4 linked regions of the Nothobranchius furzeri genome follow. The protein of the gene in region 3 purifies or fractionates together with the protein of the main gene of each other region. This does not show direct contact. Links are inferred from orthologs where the notes say so. Each region holds a gene or a part of one and is shown on either strand. Other genes may lie near its edges.

Evidence for each region. Proteins that work in one complex are often made in the same cells at the same time.
Region 1: the proteins of stip1 (region 3) and irak1 purify together in Homo sapiens (affinity purification with mass spectrometry; 3 studies listed by BioGRID and IntAct, with this or other methods). This does not show direct contact. The link is inferred for Nothobranchius furzeri from reciprocal best matches to the Homo sapiens genes STIP1 and IRAK1.
Region 2: the proteins of stip1 (region 3) and dnajb6b purify together in Homo sapiens (affinity purification with mass spectrometry; 3 studies listed by BioGRID and IntAct, with this or other methods). This does not show direct contact. The link is inferred for Nothobranchius furzeri from reciprocal best matches to the Homo sapiens genes STIP1 and DNAJB6.
Region 4: the proteins of stip1 (region 3) and dnajc7 purify together in Homo sapiens (affinity purification with mass spectrometry; 4 studies listed by BioGRID and IntAct, with this or other methods). This does not show direct contact. The link is inferred for Nothobranchius furzeri from reciprocal best matches to the Homo sapiens genes STIP1 and DNAJC7.

Annotation. Positions count from the first base shown.
Region 1 is NC_091755.1:47,789,116-47,794,272, reverse strand, and holds the start of irak1 (interleukin-1 receptor-associated kinase 1), read left to right. Parts: upstream 1-1,601; 5' UTR 1,602-2,490; coding exon 2,491-2,602; intron 2,603-3,455; coding exon 3,456-3,623; intron 3,624-4,085; coding exon 4,086-4,187; intron 4,188-5,157.
Region 2 is NC_091747.1:47,512,077-47,517,060, forward strand, and holds the start of dnajb6b (dnaJ homolog subfamily B member 6b), read right to left. Parts: upstream 3,557-4,984; 5' UTR 3,395-3,556; intron 1-3,394. UniProt on the Homo sapiens protein: Has a stimulatory effect on the ATPase activity of HSP70 in a dose-dependent and time-dependent manner and hence acts as a co-chaperone of HSP70. Plays an indispensable role in the organization of KRT8/KRT18 filaments.
Region 3 is NC_091750.1:53,228,959-53,233,949, forward strand, and holds part of stip1 (stress-induced-phosphoprotein 1), read left to right. Parts: intron 1-1,230; coding exon 1,231-1,440; intron 1,441-1,527; coding exon 1,528-1,669; intron 1,670-2,687; coding exon 2,688-2,832; intron 2,833-3,035; coding exon 3,036-3,201; intron 3,202-3,289; coding exon 3,290-3,416; intron 3,417-3,662; coding exon 3,663-3,765; intron 3,766-4,991. UniProt on the Homo sapiens protein: Acts as a co-chaperone for HSP90AA1. Mediates the association of the molecular chaperones HSPA8/HSC70 and HSP90.
Region 4 is NC_091745.1:16,067,810-16,072,745, reverse strand, and holds the start of dnajc7 (dnaJ homolog subfamily C member 7), read left to right. Parts: upstream 1-1,380; 5' UTR 1,381-1,442; coding exon 1,443-1,519; intron 1,520-4,083; coding exon 4,084-4,172; intron 4,173-4,274; coding exon 4,275-4,399; intron 4,400-4,936. Other genes in the region: nkiras2 (NF-kappa-B inhibitor-interacting Ras-like protein 2), read right to left, coding at 208-301. UniProt on the Homo sapiens protein: Acts as a co-chaperone regulating the molecular chaperones HSP70 and HSP90 in folding of steroid receptors, such as the glucocorticoid receptor and the progesterone receptor.

The DNA.
Region 1 (5,157 bases), on a different chromosome or scaffold from region 3:
CATTCAAGTAAAATGTATAAATACAGATTTATTTGTGTTTAAAAACCAGGTGTTTTAGTGGACGTTTTCTCTAAAGTAGATATCAGATTTGATAGCGTTGTGGAGCTCAGTGAAGAATAAAAAGTACTCGTTGGTTGAACTGTTAAGGGGATCCTAGTCTAGAACTCCTAAAATTCAAACCAGTTCTTTAAAGCCTCTATTTAGAAAATTACACTTTGTTGGGGCTCACAATGGCCCAGGAGCCCTGATGAATGGCCGAACACAACCCAATAATAAAGACCTACAATGGAAAGACTGGTTTGCCCCGTCCACTTGGCCAGGACATGAATATTAAATGAGCTGTGTGCTGATAGGCCAACTTACCCCGATGGCTCTGACGCTGCCTGAAGCTATCTCTGGGTGTTTCTCAATGCCAAGGAACCTTGCCTTGATGTCTTGGCCCCGCCCCGGTTGCCTAGGAGATACGTCATCGGGAGCCGCCAAGACGTGTTCCAATGTTCATGTTCTACCGAGGTTCCGTTTGTTAGCCATTTAGCTAGCTGAGCGGGGATACATGGGAGATGTCTTGTAGCCTAGTCTTGGTCAAACATTACCCAGAATACACCGCGGTATTTTCAAAAGGACGGCGGATCAGAAGCCGGCGGCTACTTCGGGGGCAAATTTCAAGTTTAAAAGTAAGTCAGCTAATTTAAAATGTTTTTTTTTTTTTAGATCCAAAGAAGTTATCTATGGTTGGTTAGTTGTTTAGTAGTTGCAGCTTCGGTGGCTAGCGGGTAGTAACTCACTTATATTTTTGATTTAATAAACATATCTCGTTATATATTTATATTGAAACTAATACATATAAAATATGACCTCATCTCCCGTGTCACGTGACGTTACGTGACCGCCATGGAAGCCACGGTCACGTGATGCAAGTCTGTTCCATTTAACCGTTTTCTTTGACCAAGGAAGGACCGTGTCCTCGTAAGCAAGGCGCCTGGCCTCACAAGACATCGCCTCGCAAGGCCAGGCGCCTTGACATTGAGAAACATCCTCTGTGTCCAGTATCCAGATAACTTAATAGGGGAACTATCGGTCTATCTGGCATTTATTCATAGTCTGGATATTCCCAGAACTTCCTGGACATTGTGTGCTCTGACATTCTTCTTCTTTGTTGTTTTCCTCTTGTCCAACAAGGACGTTAGCTGTAGCTCAGGTTAGCGTTTGCAGTAGCTCTGCGGTTCAGCATTACTTCTACCAACATTTATAATGGCAGATTCGGAAGAGGGTTGGGGCATGCATAATTAAGGGTGATTTGGAAACCTAGAAGGTATTTTGGACCACCATGTGACATAACATCAGCTGGACAGTCCTGATGGACCTGCTGCCCGTATTCTCCATCGTGGCTTATGTTGTACTATGTTATTCATGAGGCAGAACTTCTGTCACCTCTGGGACAGACAATAAAGCAGTTTCATTTCCAGTCATTTAGTTCAAGTGATTTGTCTTTTTCCTGATTGTTTTATTCCCTTAATTTATCTCAACACATATTTTGTTCAGATTGGCAACAGAATTATGAAATATACACATCTGTGAAAGCACTCACACTTAATCTTCATAAATCAGACCAAACATGTTCAAAGAAATGTTAGCGAAAAGAACATGGATTCAACAAAATTACTGAAGAGGCATATTCACTTTCATTTTCCCTGCATTTGCCTAGAAATCGATCTAATGGTAGTAGTGGCAAAAGACTTGGCTCTGCAGGTCGGTCTGGCCACACTACATGACAGCCTCAGCAGATCTACCACTGGCCTGAAGAGTTTTGCTTCTTGCAATTCACATCACTCTATGTTTATTGGATGGCCTCAGCACCAGAGCTATGATGGAGAAAAACTACAAAGATGGCATCGACTCAGGAATGGTGCTAGTTCTGCTGTGTGCTTTTAACATCTTGATCTAGTGGAGCAACCCGTGTTCTGACCTCCACCCCCCAAATGTGCTTGTGTGAATGTTTGAATGATTGATTGTGTTGTAAAGCACCTTAGGGGGCCATTTTTTATTTAAAGTGTAATTTTAGCACAGACTAATTTCAAGACAAATTGTTTAAAAAAATGAAAAAGTTGCTTAGTATTGACGAGCGTATTTTCCTACTGCTGTCACTGCCCCCTACTGGACAGCAGCAGCTACAGCAGAAACCCAGATATTACACTCTCATCTAAAAACAAAAACATTCATTTAATGAATTATAAATGGTGGGTTGTTTATCACCAATAGGCTTACATTTGAAAAACACATCCAACCAGTAAAGGAAAAAAAAGTCTTGGGGGGCTTTTATTTTGTCAGGCCCACCGGAAGCGTGTCGCCTTCCAGTGGGCTGGTTTCCTCAATAAGCGGAAGTACAAGGTGAAGAGAAACTTTCGGGTTTGTTAAGAGTTGTTTTTCAACCTGGTTCTGATGTGACCCACTCGGTTCTGTAAAGTGGAGGAGTTCGGTTCTCGAGCAAAAATGGCGGGAGGGTTCCGACGAGAACAGTTCCTATTCAAACTTCCCTCTCCCGTCAACTGGGAGTTCTGCCGAGTCATGGACGGACTGTCGGACTTGGACTGGACCCGGTTCGGTGAGTTCCCCTCTAGAACACTCGACAAACAGGTCCCCTGGATCCGTATCAATCTACACCTGACCAGAGTCACGTGCTGCGGGCGACGGTCTGCTTTGAAGTGTCTCAGCTGATTGTTCTGCTGTCATGTGGCCCCGCCCACACCTGGAGCGACAAACAGGACCCCCACGCACCCCCTCCCAGGGTTGACCCGGAGAAGCTTGGCTGTGATTTTTGCCCGTTGTGGAGCAGGTGTAGCCCCGCCTCTCACCTGGTTCAAACGTCACACCTGTCCCAGTGACTTGTTAAACATTCCTGCTGCATTTAGTTACTTCTTATTTCCAGTTTCGGGTTTTCACTCATTCATGTCTCATTTGCACAGCTTTCCATTCCCCGTGAATATTCTGCTGCAGTCTTAACAGAATTTTATTTTTAATGCGGTAAATTTAATTAAATCTTCTAAATATTTACATATTTATTTAAACTGACCAGACGGCAATGGAATTTATTCCATTCTTTCCCCTGAGACTCCACTCGGGATGAAGCAGCTCCACAACATTCTCAAATCCTTCCCTTGAGTGAGGTGACAGTGGCACAGGAGATTGCAGAAGGTTGCAGGTTTGAGCCCCGCTCAGTTTGTCGCTCCTTTAGCAAGACACTTAACCCCCCTGCCTGCCGGAGGGACCGGCGGCGCCTGTGCTTGGCAGCCTCGCCTCCGTCAGTGTGCCTCAGGGCAGCTGTGGCTACATCATAGCTCATCCCTACCAGGGTGTGAACGGGTGAATGACTGGTTGTGTTGTAAAGCGCCTTGAGGGGTTCCAGGACTCTAGAAGGCGCGATATCAAATACAGACCATTTACCGTTCTGTCTGCAGCCTCGGAGGTGCTGAAAGACCAGACGGCTGTGCGACTGGCTGAGAGGCAGGCCCAGCGGACCGACTGGGTGATGAACCAATGGGGATGCAGGAACGGTCGAGTTGGAGAGCTGATTGACTTGTTAGAGTCGCTGCAGCTTTTTAGGCCACGAGATGTCATCTTGACCTGTAAGTACACCTCTGACCTCTGACCCTATATACAGGGAGCCCAAGTCTCCTCCCTCTCCGGTCGGCTCACGGGTCTCCGAAAGAACCAAAAAATGAATGCAAGTCGCTTTGCCTCACGCCCTGGATCGCACACGTTGTCCTGCAATTTAAATGAAAAGCAATGAAGTGTGTTTCGACCACGCCTGTCACGTACGTGGAGGTCGATCGTACCGCACCAGGTTTATTCATAAAGCACGTTTAAAGCGCCGTGCAGCAGCTGACCAAAGTGCTGTACGGTGGTAGAAAGAAGGATGTCAGCAGCGACTCGAACCGAGTCAGTGACTGGGCTTGTCCAACACAGAGGGGAAGGTCGTAATTAGCATAACGTGCATTCATTTTTTCGTTCCTCCCATGGTCCGGAAGTAGATGGACGTGACTTAGGCTCCATATTAGAAGAATGTTCACCCCTTCTTATGTCTGCAGGGACTCAGGCGATGAATCCTTCCTCCTTTGCTCCTCCTCCTCTTCCTCCTCCGCCACCTCCTCCTCGTCTCCCTTCTCCTCCACCGTATGAGCAGCCCACAGGTAGACCCAAAACAAGCCTGCCCATTGCTCTGATCAGCTGTTCTCCATCTGTTTTCCATCATCATCATCATTGGGGCGACGGTGGCACAGGAGTTAAGTGCTCGCCCCGTAATCGGAAGGTTGCAGGTTCGAGCCCCGCTCAGTCTGTCGCTGTCGTTGTGCCCTTGGGCAAGACACTTAACCCACGTTGCCTGCTGGTGGTGGTCAGAGGGACCGGCGGCGCCAGTGCTCGGCAGCCTCGCCTCTGTCAGTGCGCCCCAGGGCAGCTGTGGCTACATCGTAGCTCATCCCCACCAGTGTGTGAATGTGTGTGTGAATGGGTGAATGACTGATTGTGTTGTAAAGCGCCTTGGGGGGTTCCAGGACTCTAGAAGGTGCTACATCAAATACAGGTCATTTACCATTTTTACCATCAGACGGATTCCAGTACTAAACCATAGTCTGTGCCTTCTCAGCACCAGGTCCCTCTGGCTGCTCGACCGGCGCTGATGTTTGTAAATCGTGTGAAACTCCTGTTAGCAGTGCTGCTTCCAAACACCAACTGAAATAGAGATGCCACTCAGCCGTGCAAAGGGCGTTCGCTGTGGTTTTAAACAGTGCTTATTAATGATGCAGCTGACATTCACACATCGGTCCGCAGCAAGACCAACCCTGGTAACCACGACAGGAAGTAAGAACTCAGCAGAGGGATAGATCAAACTTTGTGGACTGGCTTAAAACCAGACTGGAGTGTTTCTAGAATGTCATCCTCTGAGACATGACCTTCTCCGGAAGATTAGAAATAAAAGGAAGTCTGGAGATAGGTCGGTACCTGGACGAGGCCAGGCTTCTTCAGGAAAGGCTTCAGGAAAACCCGGGGACCAAGTGAAGTAAAAGCTTCTTTTAAGAGTCTAGGAGGCATCATACCTAGGGCTTGGTAGGGTTGGTTTAAGATGTCACCTTTTTCACACCTTCTGGGTTTGCAGGTATG
Region 2 (4,984 bases), on a different chromosome or scaffold from region 3:
TTTGTGCTACAGTCATTGTTCAATACTTGAACCTGTAAGTCAGTGCTTGTATCTAATAGGACATCTGTCAGTACTGATCTTAGCCACACAGTGTTAAGAGTATTCAACCCACTGGGTTGTGATTTGCTCTCTAAAAGTATCTTTAAAGATGGCACAAAAGAGGCAAATGGTAATAGTCTAAGTTACAATCTGAATGGAACAAGAATCTACACCATAATAAGGTCAAAGTTTGACAAACAAAGCAGCACATGGTTGGTTTTTTACTTACTTTTATTACCTCTTCTGTTTTATAGCTGTTACTGCTGTTTTCATCTTTGTTTGATTTAACTATAAAGCACTTTGTCAACTTCTATTGTCTTAAAGCACTATATACATTGACTAAAGAAATGGAGCATTGGCACTACGAAGATTAATTTTATGCTTAATCAGTCTAAACCAAAACTAATCACTCTCTCATTGATTCATTTCTTTATCTCGCCAGAGCAAAGTTACAGTTGATTACATTTGCGCTGACAGTTTCAATTTTTCAGAGCAGTGTGTTGAAGTCAGATTTAAGGGATTCTGCACTTTAGGGCTAAAGGATCACACCAAAGCCTCAAATTTAATGTTCTTTGTTTCACACAAAAACAATGAGAATCCACACAAGCTAACCCATCCAGGCAAGTTGAGCAGCAAGAGATTAAAACAACATATGTTCTTTTTTAGCAGCTGTGCTTTGCTGGTGTGCAAAATGATTTTCCCTTGAAGGGGTTCCCTTACATAACCATGACCAAATCAAAAGTCCATTTTTTAACGATGTGAAAGTTGAAAAAATTGTTGAAAAAGTAAAAAGCCTCACCCAAGTTCTATACATGTGATTTACTTTGCAATTTTGCAAGATCCCGTGCCTATTTTCTTTTCTTTTACCAACTCCATGATTACAATGTAATAGGACAGCTAGAAGAGATTTGTCAAGAGCAAGAGAACATCAGACCCTGATGTTAACAAGACCAGAGTAGTGGACAAACAGACTAGGAGCAGCAAGGTCTTAACATAAATCATAAGTGAAGGAAGAAAAACGACTAGTGGCTTAGAACGATGCAATAACAAGCAGGTTCCCTCACCTGACATGATTTACAGCAACAAGAGAATTTACAGAATGGGCTCATGAACAGGAGCCCGTTTAGGTGGATTTGAATATAAGATGCCTTGAAGAAAATAATCAGTATGTGGAAAAGTTACAACTACAATAGCAATAAATAAACAATAAATAAACATTTCATGTGCAGGAACAAACTAAAAGGTACAAATTCATCTCTAAACAGTAAAAGCGTATAGTGTCTCATCAAGCAGTCAAACTCAGGACTAGTTTATGAAGTCTTGATTTTAACCACAGACTGTATGAATAATGGAAAAAGACCTACTCCGTAAGACAGGAAGCTGATCTGAAAGTACCTTAAAAGGTTTATTTTTGAGTGGGGAATCCTAAACTGTGTTTCAAAGTTATAAATAATTGTATTATCCACTGTAGAAAGTTTCCTGGACAACAAGCAAGCAGAGACTCAAGAGTTTTGCTGCCATCCTTAAACAGCTACAAAATGTTATAGAGGTTCATGCAAACACCATTTATAAATCTTTGACGGAAATTCCATGCAAATAATTACGTTATGCATCGTGAATGAAGTCTAATTAGTCCTGCAAATCAAGGCCGCCACGGAAGCTACCTAGAAAGGGTAAAATAGTAAACATGTATAACTTTTACACAGAAAAGAAAAAATAATCCAGTTATTTTCACAGAACGTTGCTGACTCCAGAACATTCATGGCTTCTGGTATCTTGTGATAACTGTGATAATCCCGAAAGAAAATCAACATTAAGCACTTTTATCTGAAACCAATGTTTACTGAAATTTTAAAGGTCAACTTTACTCATATTTTTAATACATTTGTAGGGAATCCTAGTAGAAATGGGTGCCTTGTAAGTTGTTCCCTGGAGCAAAAAAAGCTATAGTGCATCTGTGTGAGGACTTAGAAGTTAGCCAGTGGAGAAAGTAGCTTCAGACAACAGGATTTGGAGTCTTATTTCCTGATATTTGGACATTTGTTCTCTGATTGGCCAACAGCAGTGCAACTCTACCATTGACTCTGATTGCTTTGCAACATTGATGATTGATTTGATCTCCACAAATAAGCCTGGAAGAGTTTTGCTATGCTGTGGAAATGCCAGTGATAGCTTCTACTAGCTGAATATTCTCTGCTGTTTCCTAGATGCTAAACCAACAACAGCCTTCCTCTTCGTGAGCCAAGATGGGTGGGTCCATTCATGTTAAGTAACAGCATGACATAGATCTGTCAGGTTTTTCTGAACTGAGCATTCTTTCGTTTATTTTCCATCAAAATATAATGCAGGAAATAGAGGTAGAAGACCATTTTCAAGTTCAGCCTGTTTGTTAAAGCGATCATTTTCAAAAATAAATAAATTGTTTCTCAGCTTTTTAAGATAAAACTTTGACATCCACATAAAATTACTTTTTTGTATTAATCAGCAAAAATAAAACAAATTCTAATTAGATGTGAGCTCATCTGTATAAGAATAACGCAGTTTAAAACAGTGTAGGTTTTTTTAAACACTGTAGTTTTTTTTGATGGGCATTCAAATTGATATAAAACAACACTGGGGAAACATTTTTCAGAATATAGCCGTTCCATTTGACACTCAAAACATCATTATCTAATTTTAAAAAATCTTTATTTCTAATAAACAAAATTACTTTTAAACATTTTGTTGCCATTCGCGTGTTTATGCTAAATTTGGGAAGTTAAAGGTCCAATCACGCTGCTAAGTGATGTGGCAACTTGTGTAAACTTCTCAGGATTTGGAAAAACTTCCAGAAACTCAGTTTATTTCGCAGTTTAGGAACAAAACACTTCAAAAATGAATCTACCAATAAACTATCGAAAACTTGGAAAAATTGTACTGTTGTACAAAACAAAATTCAGCTAACGTTAGCAGTACACAATTCCTTACGACACTATGACGCTAAATAAAAATGATTATCCTGACGAGCACAAAAACATTATTATGGGATACTGTTTAAAAAGTCGTTTTAAAATGAGGCTAACTGTAGCACTGCCTTATTCTCTGGTTGGCAGCTACCACGAATAGCTAGATTAGCTTACCATTAGCCGGTACATCTGAATATCACTAACACGCGATCACGGGCGGATTAATAATCAGCACGACTTTAACTTATATTAAACGTCTTATGAATTATGAAACATTACCGTCGACGATTAGCACATAGCAGAGCCGCACAGCACCCCCAGCATGAGACTATGCGGCAGAAGAGGCTTTCACCGCTTTTTACTGAACCCTCGTACTGTGTTGACTTTCGTCTAAATCAAGAAATGCTTACCAGAATAAAGGCAATATCCACCCCAATAGCCTCTCTGTTGATGTGGTTCAAACTATTTCCGTTTAAGAGTACAAACTGTGTCTGTAAGTAGAGGTGGCTGGTTATTGATGGTGGAGCTGAAAGATATATCTGGCCTTGCCCACTACTAGGAATGCTGCATTCACGTGCAGTAGGAAATCACATCATGCACCATGACACTTGCGGGTTTTTATTATTATTATTTTTATTTATATGTTCCCGTTTCTTTTTGTAGATTGTTTAAATATCTTCTTTTTTAAGATTATGGATACAAATAACATGCAAATAAGACTATGAATAGTCGAACCACGTGTCAGAAACTGTTATTTATTGTTTTCTAATCTTTGTTCTTACGAGGGTCTATCAAGGTAGCACGTCTTTCAACGTGGAAATCAGCGTTTTTGTCTGTTTTCACCGAACCTGCCCCGGTAGAGGGCAGCTAATTGTGTAAATCCCGTTGATGTAAAGTGTAAATGCAATATCAAGCTATTCAAATGACGTTGATAAAAGATTAGTTTTGTTTGAGGACAACAACCTTTGTCTCAAAATGTTTAGGTGACACAAACTTGCCTTGTGCGCCCTCTGTCGTCTGCTGAAGTAATAACATTACTATTGGTGAAAGGAGTTGAAAGCCACCACTGTGAAGCTTTGGTTGATTTTTCTGCTATATGGTTGTTGTTGTTTTTTTCTAAGTCACCCACAGTGTTCTAAAAGGGTATTTTGCCACTTACAGATTTCTTCAACATCCTGTGATCAAATTTGGGTACTGCAGTTCTTCTAAATGAGTCCACGTTGAGCAATTGTTGCTATATCACGGACACGCACCGGAAGATTCTAGGCAAGGCAGCTTAATTTATTGAGCACATTTCAAACACAGAGGCAGTTCAATGTGCTTTACAATTAACAAGGCATGACATGAAAACACAAATTAAAATACACACAAATGGAATTACAGTTTAGAGCTAAAGGAGAAGACAAAGTTACAGGGCAGATCACAGTGGAGATGACGCAGCATAGGAAACAATTCATTTAAAGGCTGATGAGTACATTAGGGTTTTTACTTTTGTTTTAAACAACAGTAGGGTTGGGGCACATCTGAGGTCATGGGGAAGCTGATTCCATATGTGAGCAGCATAGTAACTATATCTCCATCATGTTTTGTTCTGACCCGTGGTTCTACCAGCTGGGTGTTTCCTAAGGATATCAGAGCCCTATTGGGAGTGTATACAGAAATTCAAGTTCAATTCAAGTTTGATATAGCGCCAAATCATGACAAGAGTCGTCTCAAGGCATTTCACGAATGAGATCAGACATGTATTTTGGTCCTATGACATTGAGTGATTTATAAACTAGTAGGAGCACTTTGAAATCTTTTCTGTTGTTTACTGGTAACCAGTGTAGGCATCTAAGAACAGGAGTGATGTGCTCCATTCTTTTAGTTCTTGTTAAGACTCTAGCAGCATTCTGAACAAGCTGCAGCTGCTTCACAGCTTTTTGGGGAAAACCAGTCAGGAGACCATTGCAATAGTCCAGCCGACTAGAAACAAAAGCATGAATAAGTTTCTCTAATCT
Region 3 (4,991 bases):
TTCTAAAAATTTGTCGACGTCAGATCCGGAAGTCGACGCACCGCGCCCACTTGTTGCATCCCCAGGAGTTTGTAAATAGAGGAGGAATCTGCCTGTTTTTCCTCTAGTTCGCTCTCTTCTCCGCCTTCACTAACATCTCCGCCAAATACCGAAGACCCGGAACAACGTCCGTCCACTACTAGATTATTTTCCTGTTTTGCCCGCCTTCGTCTCCCGGCAACGGACAACAACTTCCGGGGTCAGATGCGCTGCTTCGTCTCTACCGCAGATGTAGAACATCACCGGGAGCGCTTCTCCCTTCATTAAGGAGCTTCTTTCAGACATTAGGAGAGCTGTTTTGGTGGTAGCAGTCTCTCCTCCGTGCTGGTCTGTTTGCTGCTGGGTGTTTTTGGTTTATTTAAACTTGGTAACTTGAACTTAGCGTTGGTAAAGCTACTGTTAGCATCTTCGCTAACAGCTTCTTGCGTTGGGATAAGCTGTTACGTTTTGGTTTAGAGTTCATCTTTTTTGTGGTGTAGATCTCCCTTTTATTACATTTAGAGTGTTGTGGGTTTTCGGTTTAGTGTAAAATATCACCTTGAGTTTGGTTTAACCCGTAACACCACTCGCCTCACGCACATAAGTGACCAAAACAAAGCAGCATGGAGACACTCCATCTTCTACCACCTCTCAGGCAGCAGCCTGCACTCCCAAGTTCTACATGTCACCAGAACATAACCAACCAACACAATAAAAGCAGCGTTATACAAAATGGAAGGCCTGTAGTGTTTCTTCTCTTACAGTAAGAATTTATCAATTTTTTTGAGGAATTTATTTGAGATTTTCTGGTTTTTGTTAATTGTGCAATAGAAAAATAATCATTACATTAATTTTCTAAATAGTCATTAGAATAGTCGACTATTCGATAAAATAATCGTCAGAATAATCGTTTTAAAAATAATCGTTTACCCCCAGCCCTAGTTAATATGTAAATCTAGAATTTGTATTTTATTGATGCAAAGTAAAGCTCATTAAAAGCAAAGTTTTGTCACATAAGGTGAAACTTTAATGATGATAAAGCTGTTCAGTGTTCTTTCTCCATTGCTTTTGGACCTGTTGGGGTCAGTTTCCTTTTTTTATTGTCTGCCAGTAACAGCTGTTGATGTTCTCTTTAGTTGGGATTTCCGCTGGGGATTCCACACATAAACATTTAAAGGGGAGGTTTTGTAAAAGTGTTTGTATGTTTTGTAGGTGTCAGCATTGAAAGACCAGGGCAACAAGGCACTGAGTGCAGGAAATATTGATGAAGCTATTCGCTGCTACACTGAAGCTTTGACCGTCGATCCATCAAACCATGTGCTGTTCAGTAACCGCTCAGCTGCCTACGCCAAAAAGGGCAGTTATGAGAACGCTCTCCAAGATGCCTGTCAGACCATCAAGATCAAACCCGACTGGGCCAAGGTCAGGCATCCTTCTGTCATAATTCTGTCTGATGTGTTAGAATAAAAACTAAACAGCATCTGAAATCGAACAAATTTATTCACCTAGGGCTATTCTCGGAAAGCTGCAGCCTTGGAATTTCTTGGACGATTGGAAGATGCCAGAACAACGTACCAGGAGGGACTTCGCCACGAGCCGAGTAATCAGCAGCTAAAGGAGGGTTTACAGAACATCCAGGCCAAACTTACAGGTACAAGCGTTTGGTTTTAGAGTCTATTATCTAGGGCTGCAGCTATAGAATATTTTAGTATTTGAATATTCTATTGAATCCTCCATTGATTAATCGAATATTCTATTTGACGACATTTCACAGGATTATGGTATGCTGCTAAAAATATAATTAAACCACAAAATTATATAAAGGGATCAAAAACGTATTCAATTTGTCGTCTAGTTTCCTCCTTCACAGCTGATAGGTTATACTTTATGGAACAAACTCTGACTTATATTTCATTAAAATGTTTGTTTTAATATCACCCATCCTTGTCTAAACATATCCAAATAAAATCACATATGATCAATAGAATTTAGTTATTTCAATAATATGTTCAGTAGTATGCCACTGGAAATGCTACTACCATTTATTTTTAATTTCTATTAGTAATAATGTAATGTTGGCATATGCATTTTATTATGTACGAGCTGGCAACATAATCCAGTTAAAATTGTATTCAAATGTAGAAGCTTTGTGAATTACATGCTACAATGGTTTGATATTGATCTGCGTGTGTGTGGCACAGACTTGAGTTGCTGACTCAGTAGCAACAACCTGCCTCCAGGTAGCAGCTGCAGCGGTTCTGCTCCATACCACTGCAGACATCCACACATAAGCGGGATGGTGGGAATTTTTCTTCCGCTTGTAGAGTTTAGTCATTCACAAGCATCTTTTTCTGAACTCCACTTGATCATGAGCGTGCTACGTGCTAGCTTAGCATTAGCTAATCTGCCTGAAGTTAAACTCTTGATCCCAGACTGTGGAACGTTTCTGCTGTTTACTATGGTTTCTGTCTTTGCTGGTTTCTTTATTTTCCTCCACAGTACCTAGATCAGGGGTAATCAATGAAAAACCCAATAGGACCAGTCCTTAAAATTTCTTTCATAACGAGGTCCAAACCTCATGTGTACCTCACCCCATGGCTTGCACACATGCGTGCATGCATTCTGAAGTCTCATTTGTGATTGCTAACAAAAAGTTGCTCGTCCTTCAGCAGAGAAATCGATGATGAACCCTTTTGCATCGCCCAACCTGTATCAGAAGCTGGAGAACGATCCTCGGACTCGTGAGCTCCTGACAGATCCCAGCTACAAAGAGCTACTGGAGCAGCTTAGGAATAAACCATCAGAACTCGGAGCGTATGTGCTTTTATTCGTTGTTTTTTATTTATTTATCCTAACCATTTGTATAATAAAACTGAAAAATCAAATAAAACCAGTCGTGGAAATTTGTAAAATTTATCTTCTTATTTGAAAGATGGTCCAGTGTGTGGCGATTTACTTTGACGAATATTAGAATACTGTGCTATTTAACATTCTCTTATTTGTCTCTGGCTTTGTAGGAAGCTGCAGGATCCAAGAGTGATGACTACTCTGTCTGTGCTCCTGGGCCTGAACCTTTCTGAGATGGAGGAGGAAGAGGAGCCCACACCTCCACCTCCTCCCAAACCCAAAGAAACTCCTCCACCACCTCCAAAAGAGGAGGACCTCCCTGAGAACAAGAGGATGGTAAAGTGGCTAAAAATCTAAACATTACATCAATCTGGTGTTGAATTATGTTTGTTTTTAAGATGATGCATATTTGTAATTTTGACAGGCTCTGAAGGAGAAAGAACTCGGAAATGCTGCATACAAGAATAAGGATTTTGAAGCAGCATTGAAATATTATGAAGAGGCCGTTAAGCACGACCCCACCAATATGACGTATTTATCCAACCAAGCAGGTTCGTTCCCACTCATGTTGGTGAACTAAACAAGCCACACACATTTGGGCTCGTTTGAAAAAAATTCTAATTGTAGATGAATTCTATATTTTAGTAAGTGTTTATGCTTTATTATTTTTTATGTTTACAAGCATTCTGCTGCTACAAACAAACTTTTTTTCCAACATAAACATCCTGCATGCTTGTAGGACACTTGCTGATCTCTTGGTAATATAACTGAATGTGAATGTGTTGCTCTTGTTTTAGCTGTGTATTTCGAGATGGGCGACTTTGAGAGATGCAGAGAGTTTTGTGAGAAGGCCATTGATGTTGGCAGAGAGAACCGAGAAGATTACAGACAAATCGCAAAGTGAGTTTTCTAAAGGACTTTATTTTTTCTGGTTCCTGAAGAACCATTTGTCTTTCTAAAACCAAAAACCCAAAGTGTCCAGACCTGGACTATAGATTTACAGAAACTCAAGCATTTGAAATATTGAAGTCTTGTTTTGTTATTTGCAAAATTGTTTTCAACTGGCAGAACACCCACCAGCGCATATAATAATAATAATAATAATAATAGTAATAATAATAATGGAAGATACATCTGTTTTTCCTTTGTGCCTAACCATGGTGTTTTTATGCATCAGATAAATAATTAACACTGAAAATCTTTTACTTTTTGGTGATGGCGGATAATCTTTATGAGCCATTTACTTGGCTACTAGATCAGACTGTCTAGTGCAGGGGCCGGCAACCTGTTCCCATCAAACAGCCATTATTACCCGTTTCCCACAGTAAAGAAAACACTGGGAGCCACAGCAGTCGCGGCGTTTTGGGTGCGCCTACCGGGCCTGGGCAGGTGACGCTTTTTAACGCGTCACACGTGTCTCCTTTTAAAGCGTGTTTAAGCTGTTCAGAATACAAATCCAGGCTCTCTCGTTGGGATTGCTGTAATTAAACCGTACTGAACAAAACATTAAACAATGTTGAAAAAGTAAAAGGATCCGATCAATTCACTTTTTCCCAAATTTACAGTGATGGCGATAATGGTGCAGTGCGCATGGCTCTGGTGTTATGTTTCTCTTTGCAACAGTCTTCAGAAGAAGGTGAAACCGTTAAATGACAGAGTTTGCATTGACCGGATATTTCCTGTAGTTGTCCGTTTATTTTGATGTAGAAACCTCAAGGCTGCAGGTACGCTGACATTTTAATTATGCACATCGCAGAGGTAGCTGAATCAGTCAAGAAAAGATTTCCACCAGAACACCTGAGCATCATACTGGACACTAGGGCTGTCGCGGTAACCGCAAAAATGAAATATCGCGATATGAAGAAGCCCACCGCGCTGCATCATGCGCCACGGCGCGATTACTGAACTTGGTTCAACTCAATGATGCATGTTGAGAAGGATGGCTGCACTGGTATCAAAACGAAACGTTACTTCGCTCCTGTGGGAGCACTTTGGTTTTCAGTACATCAGCTGCTGCGCAGCCAGAGTCCTTGGCCGAGACGGAGCTGCCACCAGCGGCAAAAATAAATAAATAAACGCTCGGAGACCTGCTGAAGTCCCGGACAAGCACTGCTTCTGCAGCCGTC
Region 4 (4,936 bases), on a different chromosome or scaffold from region 3:
AGCTTTATTACATTATTTCACAGACAGAGACAGCCTGCCATACTGAATATTTTTCCTCTTTTCAACCAGTCTGTATCAATGAGTGCTATTTTCTGAGCTGTAGTCTGTTGCAGAAGCATATTATTGTATGAAATGACGCAGAAACAGCTTTTTCTCAGACAATTTTGATCATCTTTGTTCAGTTTTTACAGAAGCCTGGTGACATACCTGCAACATGATTGGCATAGAGCAGCTGTTCCAGTACAGCTGTTTTACCAACTCCAGCCTGACCACACACAACTACTTTACAGCTTTTTCCCATGATGACGTCCTAGTCCCTAGTAGGAAAATCTGTTGAAGGAATAAAACAAACAGATTAAACCCTGCTGAGCCAGTTAACATTAAAACTGTAGAGAAAAGAGTAAATGTCATAAATGACATGAATAAATTTATTATCAGTCGCAGTGTGATTTTAATTTATTTTATAAACATTATAAGTATTAACAGCATCAGTGTCATGCAGTGATCTGGCATCTGTGAACAACGGAGTTGTAAAAACTCTTTCCCATGTCTGAAGACCGTAAACACTAAGGCGGTTTTGTCAGAATGTTGATTAAAGAACAATTAGTGTTTATTTTCAATACCTTTGCTCAATGATAATTGTTTCATAACATGAATAAAGCAAAGAGGTCAGATATTGTTTTCAATTGGGACACTTCCTGAATAATTTTGACCTCCTCCTTATTGGAGGCTCCAAACGACGTTTCTGCAGAAGTGCTGATATATTAGCCATAGAGGTGTTCCTGTTTGTTTTCTTTTATTTCAACAGCAAGTCTTTTAATGAGTGTAAAAATACATAAAAATTAAATAAAAATAAAAAAGCAAGTGAAAATGAACAGCAGACTGACAGGATCCAGCATTCCCCAAATGCAACATAGTCGACCCAAATCAAACATAAAATGCTTCCAAGGTGTAACGAACAAAACCAGACACAGCTGAGTCACAAAATGAGAAAAACATCCTGCTAGCTCTCTGCCTTTCCATCTCCTAGCCTTTCCATTGCGTTGGCTAAATAAAACTCTTTTGTTTTTATTAACTATTAATGTCAAAATTGAGTAAATAATTTTAGAATGAACATAGTTGCTTTTCTTTGTGGGCTTTTAGCCTAGCATTAGCTTTCATAAGATACGCAACTACAATGTCACCGTGTACGCAATGGACGTAAGCCAAACCTGACAACACTTAGTACATGTCGTCAAACATACACTGACTAGCTTCGTTCTTGGCAAAAGTTAATGGTTTGTAGTATTATTTAACATTACTGACAGACTGCTTTCTTACCTAGCGGGCTAGTTCCTGTTTACAGTGTACGTAATGACGTTTTCTTGCAAAACTGTGACTTCCTGTTTACAGCGTACGTAACACCGCAGTATGAAACCCCGCCCATTCTCATTGACGGTAAAATGGCGACAGACAGCTGTGATTCTTCGAACGCGGAGCCTGACATGGAGCTGCTCATCACTGACGAGGATATAGAAAGGTTTGAAAATGGCAATGCCTTGTTGTCAATGGTTATCGGATACACAAATAACTTGTTAGTCCAACGTGTGTTTTAACTGCCTTGTCATCGGAGTTTTCTTGTCGCACTTAAATGCTAACTAGCGCTATTGCTAACTGTAAGCTAACGTTCGATAGCCTTGTTCCCCTTCTCTAACTTCTCTGCCGGATTTAAACGAGGATCTGAATTTGTTTTTAGTTTCATAGCATTAGCGTTGTTTGGGCCTTTGCACCACTGCCGTATTTTCTGATTTTGTAGAATGACACTGTTCTCTGACTGTGTGGTCGTGATGTTAAGCTTTAAGCCATCCAAATAAAGTCATGGCAGTTGCACGGAGCATGGTGTCATATGTTCCTGGCTCTGCTCGCCTTGCCTGCTTCACAAAATAGCTACGGGTTGGCTGCTGTTTAGACTCTTTCTATGTTTAGCTAACGCAGACCGGAAAATTCTGGAATGCATCATAGGCACTGTCCCTTATAATCACAGATGTTCTGCATTGGTTAGGAGTATTTCAGCAAGCCTCTAGTTACCATCCAGATGTATCAAAGCAAGTTTATTGCAAAGAAGATATTCTAGTCAATTTTAGGTTTCAGAGGGTGAGTCATTAAAGCATAACTGGTGTATTGTATAGGAGCTAATCTAAAGTTTAAAGTCTAGTGGTTGTTGAAAAATATTTAGTTTAGTATTTCAGGACAGTCAAATCAGTGGCGTCCAAACTTTGAGAAATGGGCAAAAATAAACAAGTTAGAAGTACTGGGAGGAGTTTATTTATTTTTTTAATGTAAAAAATGTTCTGTTATGTCTTTATTTGCATCCCCTCAACAAATCATAAAACACAATGTTTTATCAAAGAGGAATTAACATTTTTGTTAATTTTAGTGTAGTGAAGATCAGAAAATTTGTGTATTTTTGAGCCATCTAAAACATCTCGTATAACATGGAGTCAAACTCCCTGAATCTGATAAGTTGATTGCTTTAGCAGAATCTAGATTGCCTCTGCTTTAGTAGTGTTCACTGTATTTCAGTGGTTCTCAATCCTGGTCCTGGGCGGCCGGTATCCAGCATGTTTTTGTTGTTTCTTTGCTCCAACACACTTGATTCAGTGGTCAAATCACCTGTGTAGCAGGTCATCAAGCTCTGCAGAAGCCTTTTAATTACCTGCTGTTTGAAATGAGGTGTGTTTAAAGAGGGTTAAACCTAAAGCTCCTCCAGGACCAGGATTGAGACCCGCTGCTGAATTTGATCAAGTTTTCTAAAAGATGCTGACAAGTCTGCCATTTAGTTGGTCAGTGAGGGTTTGGTTCTAGTTACCATTAGATCAGTATAAAAGCCAAACAATGTGGTTAAAGACAAATGTTTTGAACTATTCTTAACCTATTCCATTTTATAATGATTTAATTCATCCGTGTTCTTGCTAGGTCTCACATTAGTAAAAGCATCGAGATTAACACAAAGTGTGTCTTCATCAACAACCTGGTCTACAAGGACAACATTACGCCATTCACAAACTGCAGTAGAGGTGTGGTTAGGAACTAATCAACACTCTTGCTTAAGAGTGTAAAAATGGAGTTTTAAACAACTCTTGTTTGTGGTTTTAGATCAGTTAAACATTTTCTGTAGAGATCTGCAAACGTTATGGGTAAATTGTTGGCTGTAAAATTGGCTTGACTCTTAAACTTAGAAGTCATGCTACTTATTAAGTGTTTTGCAAAAACAATATATTGTGTTGTTCCATACAAAAAAATTTCAAAAACTATGGAACTCTTTCAGTTTATTTATCATATTTGTTGCAAATTAGCTAAATAAGTTCCTCTGCTATAGATGAATCCATTAAAAGCAAGTTGCTCATAGTACCAGTCATTTTATATTTCATTTCAGGGTTTCTTCCAATTCTCTTTCTCAGGTTATTGGGTGGTAATATGTAGAGCTGGGCAATAAATCGAAAATGTATCGTTATCGAAATGTCTCACTCTTATCGAGAATTATTCCCATGTCAATAAATTTGATAATAAACAATGAAAAGATGTGTGTAGGTTGGCAACAACCTACACAAAGTCACGTGACCCCACAACATTTGGTCTGTAACCTGAAGGGAGATGGTGAGGACACAGATGACTCAAATGTTGGAGCTGTGGGCAAGGGCAGCAGGTAGTGGACAGCAGAAGCTGGTGACAGCGAGCAAATCCAAAATGTTGTTAAAGGGAACAGTCAACTGTTGCTGTACTGGCAGTTATCATCCAGTTATGGTCATCAAGGCAAACTGCTCAATACATTTAGGCCATGTCACCCAGCCCTTCTCCAAACTAAATGGCACAAATGCTTCAAGAAAATTTCAAGTTTCGGAATAAAATCAGGAACTATCAGCCTCACTGTGAACAAGTGGTTTAGGGAGCTGAATGGATGGCTTTACAGCCTTTAACCCCAATGGAAATACATGGCATGTGCTTTGAGATGACTACTCGTTGACCTAATTCTTGGCAAAAAATCATTACTGACCTGATCTCATTTTGCTCTGATTTTTCTGTTTCTCTGCCTTCTCTCCACAGGGAAGCGGAGGGCTTTAAAGAGCAAGGCAATGTCTTTTATATCCAGAAGGATTACACAGAGGCATTCAGTTATTACTCCAAGGCTATCGGTAAACATTTGTTTTATAAGATTCTTTCATCCATCGTCTATCGTTGGTGGGGTTTTCTACGTGAGAAACATGTACTCAAAAACAAAATCTTTTTTTTGTCAGATCTGTGTCCGAAGAATGCAAGTTACTATGGAAACCGGGCAGCCACACTAATGATGCTGTGTCGGTTCAGAGAGGCTTTAGAGGACTCCCAGCAAGCAGTACGACTAGATAACGCCTTTGTGAAGGTATGGTGTGCATAAGAAGTTACTGTCTGAGTTTTTGTTGAGTTCAAATGTGATTCTGCAGTGGGTATGGAGAGATGTGGATGGCTTCCTGACTGGCTTAGACTGGTGAGCTAATGGCTAGTTCAAGCATCCGACAAAAATGTTTTTCTGTCATCTTAAAGAGTTTGTGTAGCTTCACTTTCTAACCCTTTTGCACCACCTTCAGCTTTCATTTATTTCAGTGGGTATTTATGAGCATAAATGTTATGCTAAATCCCACCAATGTAAAAGATGTTTGATGCGTTCAGACTAAGGGATGCCGTTCCTTAAAATACATTTCATCTGTTGCCATCTTCTCCAGAGTTGAATCAATGGAGAAAAAGTAGTTTTTAATCAGCCCAGACACTCACCTAATCTGTGGGTATTCTGTTAGCTTTAGCTTAGCATAAATGAGTTAATGGTAACAGCTAGCCTTTGGTGTGAACCTCAATAATCATACTGACTGCAAATAAAAATAATACCACAAAGGATTTGCAGCTGATTTAGACTTGGGACTAC